Schizosaccharomyces pombe: one gene and its partners. The protein of the gene in region 2 interacts with the protein of the main gene of each other region in a pairwise test. Each region holds a gene or a part of one and is shown on either strand. Other genes may lie near its edges.

Region 1 (4,185 bases), on a different chromosome or scaffold from region 2:
AGAAATCGCTAATTTGTACTGGATTGAGTAAGTATGAATATCTGACGTGCCAAAAACCATGAAGCAATTTGAAGAACAAATTGAGTAGGTTTTTATGAATGTCACGTATTATGTATTTTTCTAACAAATTTAGAAGGTTTAAGCAGGCGTTATTTGAAGATTCTGATGGTAATTATTGTCAAAATGAGATTTATAATTTTCACTAACATCTCGTATAGCCTCGGATTCCGACTCTTCCATTGGAGAGGCACTTACAAATCGTGGATTAAAAAGAAAGAAAGGATCGAAAAATGTATATTATGGTTGCGTCGGTAACTCTAGTGGCTCCTCTATAGACATTGATGTATGTGTGAGTAATTGGGAATCGTAAACTGCTAACCACTACTTTATAGTACTATAACATTGGTAATACTAAAAGAGGAGTTGTCTCTCATTTTCGAAGGAGAATAGATCCGGAATGGTTGGACCATGATAACCCATATAACGATATAAACATAGCTGGTAAGTCGTACACACACTTAGTTATGTTAGACATACAATTTTTTTGATTCATTGTGCTTTTGGAGATTTCGTGTTGTGTTTTCAAAGATTGATTATGAATTGAATTGAAATATTAGTTATCAGCACTCGCCAATCATGGTCATATACATCGATCGCTTGCTAACTCAGTAAAAATTATAGAGATCATGTCACCGCTGACAAAACCACAAGACTTGCTCACACATCCTGCTATATCTTCCATATTTGAACAAAATTATTTATCAATCCTTGCTTCTTCTGCTCTTGAAATTATATCTGCTGAACACAAATATACTGCTCATCTCGAACAATTGATGGTTGCACTTTTAGGTGATGACCCATCACTACCAGGACCACCTCATGAAGTGTTTGGGATTTCTCCTGAACAGTGTAGAGAATTGACGATCACAGTTCAAGAAGCTTTGGAAAAAAGCAAGGAGTTTATTAGATGCTGGACAAACGTTCGCATGGACCTTCTTCGGGCCATTCGTTTTAAAAACAAAGTCATTGCTTACTGCCAAGGTGAAGACTATAATGGTAATACCCAAGTTTTGTCTAAAAATGAGAGTGATGGAAAACCAAATTCCTAAAATTTATTGATTTCTCATCAATCTTTTCAATTTCATTATTTTGAAGCTGATGAAGCGTATAAGTCAGCAAAATAAAACGTTGAGAATATTATTCTTTATTCCATTCGATTTACAATTCCTTTTTACGACATTATAAAAATAGAATTATCCTTTTTTAAAACGTCTTTGGTGATTTCTTCTGCAATGAAACTTAATTATTTCTTTTACTTTTTCATAACGTTGGGTTTTTTCTCAAGCTTGGCATCCCCAGCTATTAGAAACTTTGTCTTATAATTTGAGATACTGCTACTTACATATTCCCTTTGGCTATCCTAATTTCTATCCACACTTTTTTCTACTTATTCTTTCCAAGGGAAGTACGTTTACGTTTGCTGTTACATAATTTCATTTATCACTGTTGTATATTTTTTCGTTCAATCAACCGACTAACATGTGCTTGCCATTTGTATGTTAATACATTACTTATCCTTTATTTTGCTTTTTCATTTCCCCAAAGTATTAAAATTGTTATTTGTTGTGAAATTGCCCAACCTTCTTTTTGTTAGAACAATGTAAGTGCTTGAAACAACAAGATTACAAGGATTTATCGCAAAACATATTCAAGTAAACATCAATCTTTAAAAACCTGAAACCATCAGAACTATTGTTTGACTGTCCCTGATATGATTGTATCACTTTCTTCCTCAAAACTAAATTCAGACACACTAATCAATGCATGTGTGACAAGATATTTACGATTCCTGCATGTAATTTAACCGAAACCTGTTTTCACACATTTCTCAATTAAATTTTTGTTAAGAATTCCTATACTAAGAAAAATTTTCAGATGTGTGTAAAATTTCCATCGTTTATCTATAAAGATGGTTTATTGATGAGAAAGATAGTAAAAAATAGTGTCGGCTATATTATTACATCAGTGCGCTATCAGTTTAAAAGGTTGGGCCTACTAACTTAACATATACTACACCTCAAGAAAAAGAAAGAAATGCCCCAAGAAGTAAAACGTTGCGTTCTCGCCTATTCAGGTGGTCTTGACACCTCCTGTATCCTCGCCTGGCTTATTGAAGAAGGTTGGGAGGTCATCTGCTATATGGCTAATGTTGGTCAAGAGGAAGATTGGGATGCAGCCCGTGAAAAGGCCTTGAAGGTGGGTGCTAAGAAGGTTTACGTTGAGGACTTGCGTGAAGAGTTCATCAATGACACCGTCATTCCTGCTGCTCAAGCTAACGCCATTTACGAAAATGTTTATCTCTTGGGCACTTCTCTTGCTCGTCCTATCATTGCTCGCCGTCAGATCCAAATCGCCGAGAAGGAAAACTGTATCGCTGTCTCTCACGGTTGCACTGGTAAGGGCAACGATCAAGTTCGTTTCGAATTGGCATATTACGCTTTGAAGCCAGACGTTCAAGTCATTGCTCCTTGGCGTTTGCCTGTATTTTTCGAGCGCTTCGCCGGTCGTAAGGATTTGCTCGAATATGCTGCTGCTAAGGGCATTCCCGTTACTCAAACCACCAAAAAGCCTTGGTCTATGGATGAAAACATTGTACATTGCTCGTATGAAGCTGGAATCCTCGAGGATCCCAGTATGACTCCTCCCAAGGACATGTGGAAGCTCACCGTTGATCCCAAAGACGCTCCTGATGAGGTTGAAGAGCTCAGCATTCACTTTGAAAAGGGTGCTCCCACCAAATTAGAGTGCAAGGATGGTACCTTTAGCGGAGTCGTTTCCATCTTCTACCAATTGAACGCTATCGCTCGTCGTAACGGTGTTGGTCGTATCGATATTGTTGAAAACCGTTTCTCTGGTTTGAAGAGTCGTGGTTGTTACGAAACTCCTGGCTTAACCATTTTGCGTACTGCTCATATGGACTTGGAAGGTTTAACAATGGAACGTGAAGTTCGTGCTCTCCGTGACCAATTCGTTACTTTCAATCTCGCTAAAATTTTGTACAATGGACAATTTTTCTCTCCCTGCACTCGTATGCTTTTAGCAGCTAACAACGTTTCTCAAGAGGTAGTAAACGGTGTAGTTAAACTTTCTGTCTACAAGGGCAATGTCACTGTCCTCGGTCGTAAATCTGATACTGCTCATCTTTATGACGAGAAATTGTCATCTATGGATGAGCTTGGTGGATTTGACCCTACATGGACCTCTGGTTTCATCCAAATCGAGTCTATGCGTTTGCGTAACTCTGATGAAGGAAAACATTGGATGTAAATGCCAGGTCGTTCTCAATAATAATGTCATACTCACCATGTACTTGAGCCAAGCAATAATCAAATTTCTGCTGTGCAAATAAGAAGTATTATTTGAGATGGCTTCCTTTTCATATTCACATTTCATAGAATTACTCCGTTCATATCACTGATAAGTCAATTGAATATTTTTGTTGCAAAAAAAAAATAAATTCTGAAAACTGTAACTAATTGAAATTGAAGTTTTATATTGCAAACGCAAATTGTTAAGATGTTTAATGTACTCAATACTATGCTTTTAATTTAAAAAATATTTTACAGGCCTTTAGCCATTCTTCGTATACAGTCCTAAAATCAAGAATAATGTCGAAACCATCTTGAATGATAAATGAAATGAGGAACAAAAAAGATGAAAAATATATTACTAAAATAAAATTTTTTAAAGCATATCCATAACACTTTGTACTCGGTAATCTGAAAAAACAAAGAAGATAACGCTGCTAGTCAATGTTCAAAAAGATCCGTTATTGATAAACCAGTAAGCAAAGAGACAACCGATTAGTAAGAAAAAAGAAATTACAGCAAGTGTTTTGAAGAGGGCAAGGGCAATACTGGTAGTCTTATTTACAATGACCAAAGAGAAGTATAACACTATAATCAAAGTCAAGATATTAATAGCTGAGGGCAAGCTCAATCCTAGATTTCCATTGAACAATGATTTTAGGAAAGACGTTTCATATTTTTCGAAACTTTTGCCTACATTTTCAACGGTTTGAAAGACTTGATCAGGATTGGTATTTAATCCATGGTCCACAGCAAGTTTGGCGACGAAATTCCATAAAACGGATGTCAAAGACATTTTCTAAAAAGTTAAAATATG
Region 2 (4,427 bases):
CTGACCTTTTAATTTAGATCATTGAAAAATTTCACGCCATTGCGTATGAAGGATCCATTTTACAACTTTTTATAAAACAACCTGTTCAGGGATTTTGCTCTAATTTGTTAAATCACCCAGAAGGAACCATGACAAATTTATTGCCCCCAAATATGGAAATGCCTCAGCCGTTTGAAATTCCAGTGATTGCCAAAACTTCTGCTTTGCCAAATCCATTTATTTCATTCCCTTCTTTCCAAACATCGTATGAAACGACAGTAACGCCAACACCAACCTCAACACCGACAATTGATCCTTGTAATTTATTTGTTAAAAACTTGGATGATAATATAGTAGGAAACACACAACAATTAGAAGAACTGTTTTCGAAATTTGGAAGGATAAAATCTTGCACTTTAGCGTCGTATCCCAGTACAGAAATATCCAAAGGCTATGGTTTCGTATCCTTCAGTCATCCATTTGAAGCTGTGCAAGCAATTAACACGTTAAATGGAGTGTTATTCGGAAAGAAAAGATTATTCGTGAATTATGCAGAAAAGAGAGAAGATCGCAAAAAGCGACTGAGTGCTATATTTAGCCAATCTTACCCTCCAGTTGTTCCATCGCCCTCTCTAACAATTCCAATGGCTACTGAACCACAAATTTTAGAGTATCATCAGGAATGGCCTCAACCTCTAATACAATCTATACAGCAGCACGGGTATAGCGATCCTAGACAAACATTACCAACTCGTTTAGATTCATGTGCCGCTAAGCTACGTGAAGCGGTGATTTCAAACGAAAACCTAAACCCAAGCCATAAATTCGGCATAAAACACTCCACATTCAAAACTTCACTATCGCCTTTAACCAACATTGTATTAAACCAATAAATAAAAGCAAGATATGTCTAAAGGACATAATATCAGTACCTGTCGTTTAAATATTTTAACAGTTCTTTTTTTTAATCTATCTCCCATGAAATTTAGGGACATAGTATTATACAAAGAAGATCGGAAAAAGTTGAAACACAAGGAGTCGTTAACAACGGTTGAAATTTCACATTTTAGCTCTGGAAAAGTATGTTTATTTTATAAAAGAAGAAAAGAAGAAAAAACCCCAAAAAAACAAGAATAATAAAAGATAATTGGACAGCTCTGCGAATATTTTTATTTTCTCAAAATATGAATACGCTCATTCTACATTAAATCACTCAATCTACACAAAAGGAATTAGTATAATAAAATAGTTTATAAAAAGAACATACTTATCTGCTTTTTTGACGATCATATAGCGAAGAACCGAAGGTTCAAGTCTCAGAATCCTCTGTATCTCAGATTGAACTGTGGGGTTACTGTAAAAGGTCATAGACCACCAGTGACCAAAAGAGTAAGATTGATTTAGTTTTTTTATAGGTTTAGCCAGTTCCTTAAGTCCCATGGACTCAACATCAACGACCACACCTTTGTTATCCAGGATTGCTCGACCACAATTTTTGGCAATATTCATGGCCAGAGTCTAAATTTATTAGTTCATGAATTCAAATTGTAAAACAGTATCTAGAAAGTAATGAGATAATGACTATCGCTTTGTGGTTCTTCAAAAAGCAAAAACGAGGTATTACCGCTAACTTACTGGTGAGGAAGTGCGTGTTGCATTTGCAGCTGGCCTAGTTATACAAAAAAGTTCATACATAACCATTATATTGCTATACTTTTCAAACTATCAAGAGTGCTTGTTATCGTGTGACCTTTTTACTAGCGTCTGTAAGTGAGAGGTTTGGCGGTACGCTAGGAAAAGAAGAGGTTTGAGTTAAGCACTAAAAACTTCTGTTTCGTAAATTACAGTCTAAAAAGAAAAGAATATATTAACATTAAAGTAAATATAAAGCAAACGTAAAGGAGAAAAACACGAAACGTTTGGGTCGTATATTTGTTACTTAACTTATTTAGCAAGATTCTCTTTATTAGATGAACGTGAAATTTACCAACTACAAGCAGTTACCAACAAAGGATATTTACAGCTATTAGCAGTATATCATCAAAGAAATCTTGATTTTTTTTGAAAGAAGATTGATCGAAAGAGTCAAACACGTTTTAGTCATCAATTGACTTCACATTTCTACTTGTTTGTTCTACAGCTAAAAAAAACACTACAGAACTTGAAATCTTTCTTCTCTTTTTTTCAGAAGTAAAATGGATAGGGAAGATATCTTAAAGGAATTTTGCAATCGCAATAATATTGACGTTAGTCAGGGCCGTTTTTTTTTAGAGTCCACGAATTGGAATTATGAATTGGCTACTGCACTTTTACATGAAGTAATACCTCCTGAAGAAGACCATGGGTTGCAACCTTCCAGTGATGTATCGAAAGTTCCTGAAGTTACTGGAAGCTCAAGTGGAATCAGTGGTGGTGATCAACAACCACCTCGACCGTTGCAAAGACAACAAAATACTCAAGGCCAAGGAATGAAGTCAGGAACTGCATCAAAAAAATTCGCCACGCTTAGGGATTTAGAGGGAAATGATGAAAGTGCAGAAGAGAAATCACATCTCTTTACTGGTGGTGAGAAGAGTGGGCTTTCTGTAGAAGACGGTGATCCTGATCCAAAGAAACAGTTGGTGCGCGATATTCTCGAAAAGGCACGTCAACACACAATATCTCCTTTAGATGAGCAAGATTCAGGTCCTTCTAGTCTTGCATCGTCTTGGGCTAGTGTCGGACAACGATTAGGCACAGAAAATGAGGCTTCTGGTTCGACCACTCCTGTAACGCAGTCAGGTCCTCCGCGTGAAAATCCTCCTACTGAGAGTCAACCAGAAAAGCCTTTACGTCGTACTTTGTACTTTTGGCGAAATGGTTTTAGTGTAGACGATGGTCCTATCTATACATATGACGATCCCGCTAATCAAGAAATGTTGCGTTATATAAATAGCGGTCGAGCACCTTTGCATCTTCTAGGAGTATCTATGAATCAACCAATTGATGTTGTAGTTCAGCATCGGATGGATGAGGATTATGTAGCGCCGTTCAAACCTTTTTCAGGCAAGGGACAACGTCTCGGTTCTACCTACATGCAACCACGAATGTCTCAAATGCCAGGTGGTCTTTACACTGATACTTCTACTTCTTCCTCTGTTCCTATAAATGTCAAACCCAATTCAACAACTCCGCATGCATCTTTACAGATTGACGAAAATAAACCCACCACGAGAATTCAAGTACGCTTATCAAATGGTGGAAGAACTGTCCTTACTGTCAATCTCTCGCATACACTTCATGATATCTATGAAGCTGTACGCGCCGTTTCACCAGGCAACTTCATCCTTTCCGTACCTTTCCCCGCAAAGACTCTCGAAGATGATCCGTCTGTCACTGTTGAAGCTGCTTCATTAAAAAATGCCTCACTTGTTCAAAAATCTCTGTAGTCTAAAAATAATAGGAAAAATAGTGATCCCCAGTTGACATAAGAGCCGTGGATTATTATATGAACATATGTGAGAGCTATTGAATATGGGAAGCATATTTCGGGTTGTCAGAAATCTGATTTCTATTTCTGAAAGGAAACCTTTTATTTATTTAATGATGTCCTATTAAATCATCAAAACAATTTCCAAGTTTGAGTATTTTATTGGTTATATCAGGATATGTAGCTCAGAGATAGTTGAAAACCGGAATTAAAAGTTATCACTATTATGGTTATTAATAAACATCTGTAGTTACCAAAGGACCTTTTTGAAAACATTGATTTTAAAAGAAATGCTATGATATGCTATCAACGTGGCACTAAGTATTAGCAAATTGACCTAAGATATACATAAACAAAAACTATTATTCATGAATGTAATTCCCATCAAACAATAATTAATGTTGGAGTTTGAAATATCAACCAACTTTTCTGCGCAAATACGTTTAGTCTTTACTGTTCAGTAAACCTTGACACAAGCAGTTAAGCATTGCAGCAAAGTCTGCTATTGTTTAGTGTAGTACTAATTTATGGGTTATTGTATTTATAGTGATGTTAACCAAAATTTGTAAGAAATCGTTACTACATCGAATCCATGATTTGATTCAACTTATCGCGAAGAGGGCATTTCCTAAGCGCACACCTCAAATACCTTCAATTTTGCTTCGATATCCCTAAGCAATCATGAAGATTGTTGATTTGATTGATAAAATTCCTAATGGAAACGCATTCTACTCATTTGAGTATTTTCCACCGAAAACCACAGTCGGTTTGGAAAATCTTTCTAGTCGTATAACGAGAATGTCGCGAAACATGATGCCATTATTTTCTAGTGTAACATGGGGTACAGCTGGTTCTACTGCGGAGGTCTCAATTTATTTAGCCAAAATGCTAGAGCAGCATCACAAAATCCCAGCTTGTTTACATTTGACGTGTACCAATGTAGATAAAGCCATAATCGATAAGGCTCTCGAAACTGCTA
Region 3 (3,756 bases), 460 kb from region 2:
CGTGGTTTTGATCGTTTACGTGAAGCTGGTTTTACAGAAACCGAGGTCAATAATTTGCGTAGCCAATTTCATCGCTTACGAGGAACTAATTTGGATTCACTCACGGAAGACGCTATCAGAGAGGCAGAAGACGATTGGATTGACAATGGAGGACAAAACTCTTCTGCCGACGAACTTGACATGTCATATGAAACCTTGTTGGCTGGAGTATTAATAGGCTTTTTTGGAGGAGCTATTGCTTGTTATTTTCTTTGGGAAAGGACAATGTTCTCTCTGAGAATGCAATTATCCATTCTTGTCGGAATTATTTGCAATTTTGCATACGGCTTATTACACTCGTATCGATGGTAAACCCGTTCATTTTTGTTAAAATTTTTGTCCAATACAATTAATCGTTCCACTTTTCGTTGCACTTGTTAATTATGACTACAGTTTAATTGAGGATTAATAATGTCGAATTTTATGATCTATTCGCTTTGATCAAGCGTTAACTTATTAAATGTACGTTTAAAACACCATTTGGATTTATTAAGAAGTGTAAAGTAGGATAACTGTAAAAGTGTCGTATTGAGTGTGCAAAAGTAAAATATGCATATATTCATCGCTAGAATGAAAGATACCAATCAGATCCTAAAACAAAAAAAAACACACACAATAGAGGAGAGTGCTTCTAAAACAATAAAAAGAAGAAGAAATATGAAGGATTATTTTACAACCGGTATCTAAATGGGCTGACCCAAGATTTAAGAAAATTTCCAGCGATTTCCGCAAACAGTACATTCACAAAACTAAAAAAAAATTAGTCCAAATATTCTACCCAAATAGACTAATGCTTACCGTTGTCATAGGCTCATCAGCAGATCTATACGGATTGTTAATAAATTTTACGCGATAAAAAGTACTAAAATCATGACAAATAACATACCTTGTTTGCATTTGGTAATAAGAAACTTTTTTTTGCTTACACTTCCCACAAGTAAAAAGGTCTGTAACAGCTTTTTGGGGTTTAGCACCTTGCGCATGGAATAAATTTTCTTGTTCTAGCTTGGCATCTTCCTTGCGACGGTCTTCTGAAGCCAATTCGGCAGAAGTCATGGTACTGAGTCTTTGCGGAGTAATTTCATTTCGTAATACTGATGCTCTAAGTTTCGGGTTATTTTTATCTTTAAGATTCATATACAAGGACCGCATTCTGTTTCGATATTCAGAACCAGTTTTACCTGCTGCTCTAGCAAGTACTTGCGCATCAATTTCTTTGGCTTTGGCTATTATTAATGAAGAAGATTCATCCGAATCTATGACTAATGCATTGTACATTAATCCAATACAGTTGTTGCGAATCTTGTCATCAGTCACATTGACGTTCACATTATCAGATTTAAAAGTACGCTGACCACTGCTGCTTTGTTTTTGAACTTGTTTTTGAGCTTGAGAACCTACATCCGCATGTTTAGAAGGCGTGGAGGAAGTTGTAGTTGTGGTTTTCAATGGACGACCTTTACTAACATCGGCTTTCCATTTTTTTACAATTTCCCGAGCTTGCTCACCAACTTTCTCATTGGGATGAGATCTGAGCTTGCCAACGACTAATCCCAGCCGGGTTTCCTAGCATCATTGGTTAGTATTTTGAATACCGATTCTCCATCAAATGTTGGTACTCTTGTGGAATTCGTATTTTAAGAAAGATGTTATTTCTATTAAGTGAAATTTGCAAAATTCATGTAATATATTGTCAACAATCCGTGCGAGAATACTACCATATTGCATGTAATAAACCTACCTTAAGTAATTCTTCGGTAGCAACTACTTCATTTTTTAAACGTGTCATAATGTTAATTATAGTCTAGCTTGATATTAGCTTCAAAACCATCTGTAAGTCCCAATAGCACAAATTACAAACCTCTATATTCTTTCCCTGAATAGCTTTTTCCAAAGCTGCTTTCGCAGATCGGATATCAGCAGAGTCCATGATTCAAATTAAGTTCGAATACTGTAAACACTGCTGTTGGTTAGCAGATTGCAAAATTAATAATCTTATGGTGGTAGAGGATTTATTTTGGATAACGCGCTTTACATCTCACATGTCTACTAATACCGTTGTGATTTTTCTTCACCACCATAGTTGCTGATGTGAATATCAACACCCCGTAACGTGATTTTGTTAGTTGAATTCTTGAGTTTGACAGTTTTTTTTTCAAGTTTGCAAACTGTTTTCTGTTTATCGCATTAGTACTCGTGTTTATTTTACAACGTTAAATTTTCATGCTCCTCCGCTGACTTGATCTTACTCAATTGTTAATTGTTTTATCAGCTTTGTTTATGAAAAGCAAAGATTATAATGTTGTTTGATCAAATTGAAGAAACTTGATGTTCAAGAATTTAAAAGTTTGATATTCAGTTTATTTTTGAAACTTACTTTGGTCTATGTGTTCGTTCGTTTTCATAAATTTAGTTTCATGATTGTACTGAGAGACTCAAGTGACTATTCCGACTCTGAAGTAGACCTGCCAAGTATCGAGGTGAACGGAGAACGAGGAAATGTTCCTACCTCAGTGCTTTGTAATGTTGAAGGATCTTTGTTGAATTCTAATCCTGCTTTAAGGCAACCAAATTTGAAATGTATAAAACATAATCAAGACGTTGAAAATACTACGTTTCAACTAGACTTGCGAGGCTGTAGGGTTCCTTCTTCTCAACCTCAAGTTATAACTGAGTTAGAAAACAATATTGACATTCCAAAAAATATTGATGCAATGCAAAACTGGATTTTTCCACAGACTCAGCAGTATAGAAATTATCAAAAGGAATTTTGTGAGCAAGCATTATTCCACAATTTATTACTGGCTCTACCTACTGGGTTGGGAAAGACATTTATTGCGGCAGTGGTCATGTTAAACTATTTTCGTTGGTTTCCTGAAAGCAAAATAATATTTCTTGCCCCCACAAAACCATTACTGTTGCAACAAAGAGTTGCTTGTTCCAATGTAGCGGGAATGTCACCAGGTGCTACCGCTGAATTGAACGGTGAAGTATCACCGGATCGTCGACTTTTCGAATACAATACGAAACGAGTATTTTTCATGACTCCACAAACACTCCAGAATGATTTAAAGGAACATTTACTGGATGCCAAAAGTATTATTTGCCTGATATTTGATGAAGCTCATAGAGCTACTGGCAACCATTCGTATGCTCAGGTTATGAGGGCAGTGCTTAGATCTAATAGTCATTTTCGAGTCCTTGGTTTAACCGCAACTCCAGGATCTTCTACCGCCTCTGTTCAAAAGGTAGTAGATTGCCTCCATATCTCCAAACTCATTGTTCGCAACGAAGAAAGTATAGATATTCGCTCATATGTTTTTCATAAAAAGATTCAGTTGATTAAGGTCACGATCTCCTCTGAAATGAATATTTTAAAATCGGACTTTGCTAACCTATACCGGCCATATTTTAATTTTCTCCGTCAAAAAAAACTTATACCTATCAATTGTGAATGCCTTAATATAAAAGCTTATACGCTTTTCGTTTCTTTACGAAAGTATTCCTTTAGTTCAAAAAATGTACAATCTAAAGAAAAATCAAAAATCATGAGTTGCTTTACGCTATTGATTTCATGTGCTCATATAACGTATCTGTTAGATTGTCATGGGATTATCCAATTTTATCAAAAGCTTGTGGAAACTAAAAATAAAGCTGAAGGAAAAGGGAGTGGACAAAGCTTTTGGTTGTTTACTAGTAAACCGTTTGCTTTTTATT

The links.
Region 1: the proteins of ubx3 (region 2) and arg12 interact in a two-hybrid assay, tested with the Schizosaccharomyces pombe proteins (2 studies listed by BioGRID).
Region 3: the proteins of ubx3 (region 2) and tfs1 interact in a protein complementation assay, tested with the Schizosaccharomyces pombe proteins (one study listed by BioGRID).

The regions. Positions count from the first base shown.
Region 1 is NC_003423.3:448,913-453,097, reverse strand, and holds arg12 (argininosuccinate synthase), read left to right. Parts: upstream 1-2,072; 5' UTR 2,073-2,094; coding exon 2,095-3,327; 3' UTR 3,328-3,658; downstream 3,659-4,185. Other genes in the region: Clr6 and Rpd3L histone deacetylase complex subunit Rxt2, read left to right, coding at 59-84, 134-168, 219-343, 393-501, 682-1,109; nuclear membrane organization protein Apq12, read right to left, coding at 3,817-4,164.
Region 2 is NC_003424.3:1,652,110-1,656,536, forward strand, and holds ubx3 (UBX domain-containing protein Ubx3), read left to right. Parts: upstream 1-1,955; 5' UTR 1,956-2,174; coding exon 2,175-3,407; 3' UTR 3,408-3,721; downstream 3,722-4,427. Other genes in the region: mug28 (RNA-binding protein Mug28, implicated in mRNA processing), read left to right, coding at 18-872; mrp17 (mitochondrial 37S ribosomal protein bS6m), read right to left, coding at 1,179-1,197, 1,247-1,497, 1,615-1,680; methylenetetrahydrofolate reductase Met11, read left to right, coding at 4,130-4,427. UniProt on the Schizosaccharomyces pombe protein: Involved in CDC48-dependent protein degradation through the ubiquitin/proteasome pathway. Involved in delivery of substrates to the 26S proteasome. Also required for membrane fusion and sporulation.
Region 3 is NC_003424.3:2,114,413-2,118,168, forward strand, and holds tfs1 (general transcription elongation factor TFIIS), read right to left. Parts: upstream 2,045-3,756; 5' UTR 1,970-2,044; coding exon 1,901-1,969; intron 1,844-1,900; coding exon 1,781-1,843; intron 1,606-1,780; coding exon 926-1,605; intron 863-925; coding exon 838-862; intron 789-837; coding exon 744-788; 3' UTR 501-743; downstream 1-500. Other genes in the region: protein dsc3, read left to right, coding at 1-351; ATP-dependent 3'-5'-directionality DNA helicase fml2, read left to right, coding at 2,457-3,756. UniProt on the Schizosaccharomyces pombe protein: Necessary for efficient RNA polymerase II transcription elongation past template-encoded arresting sites.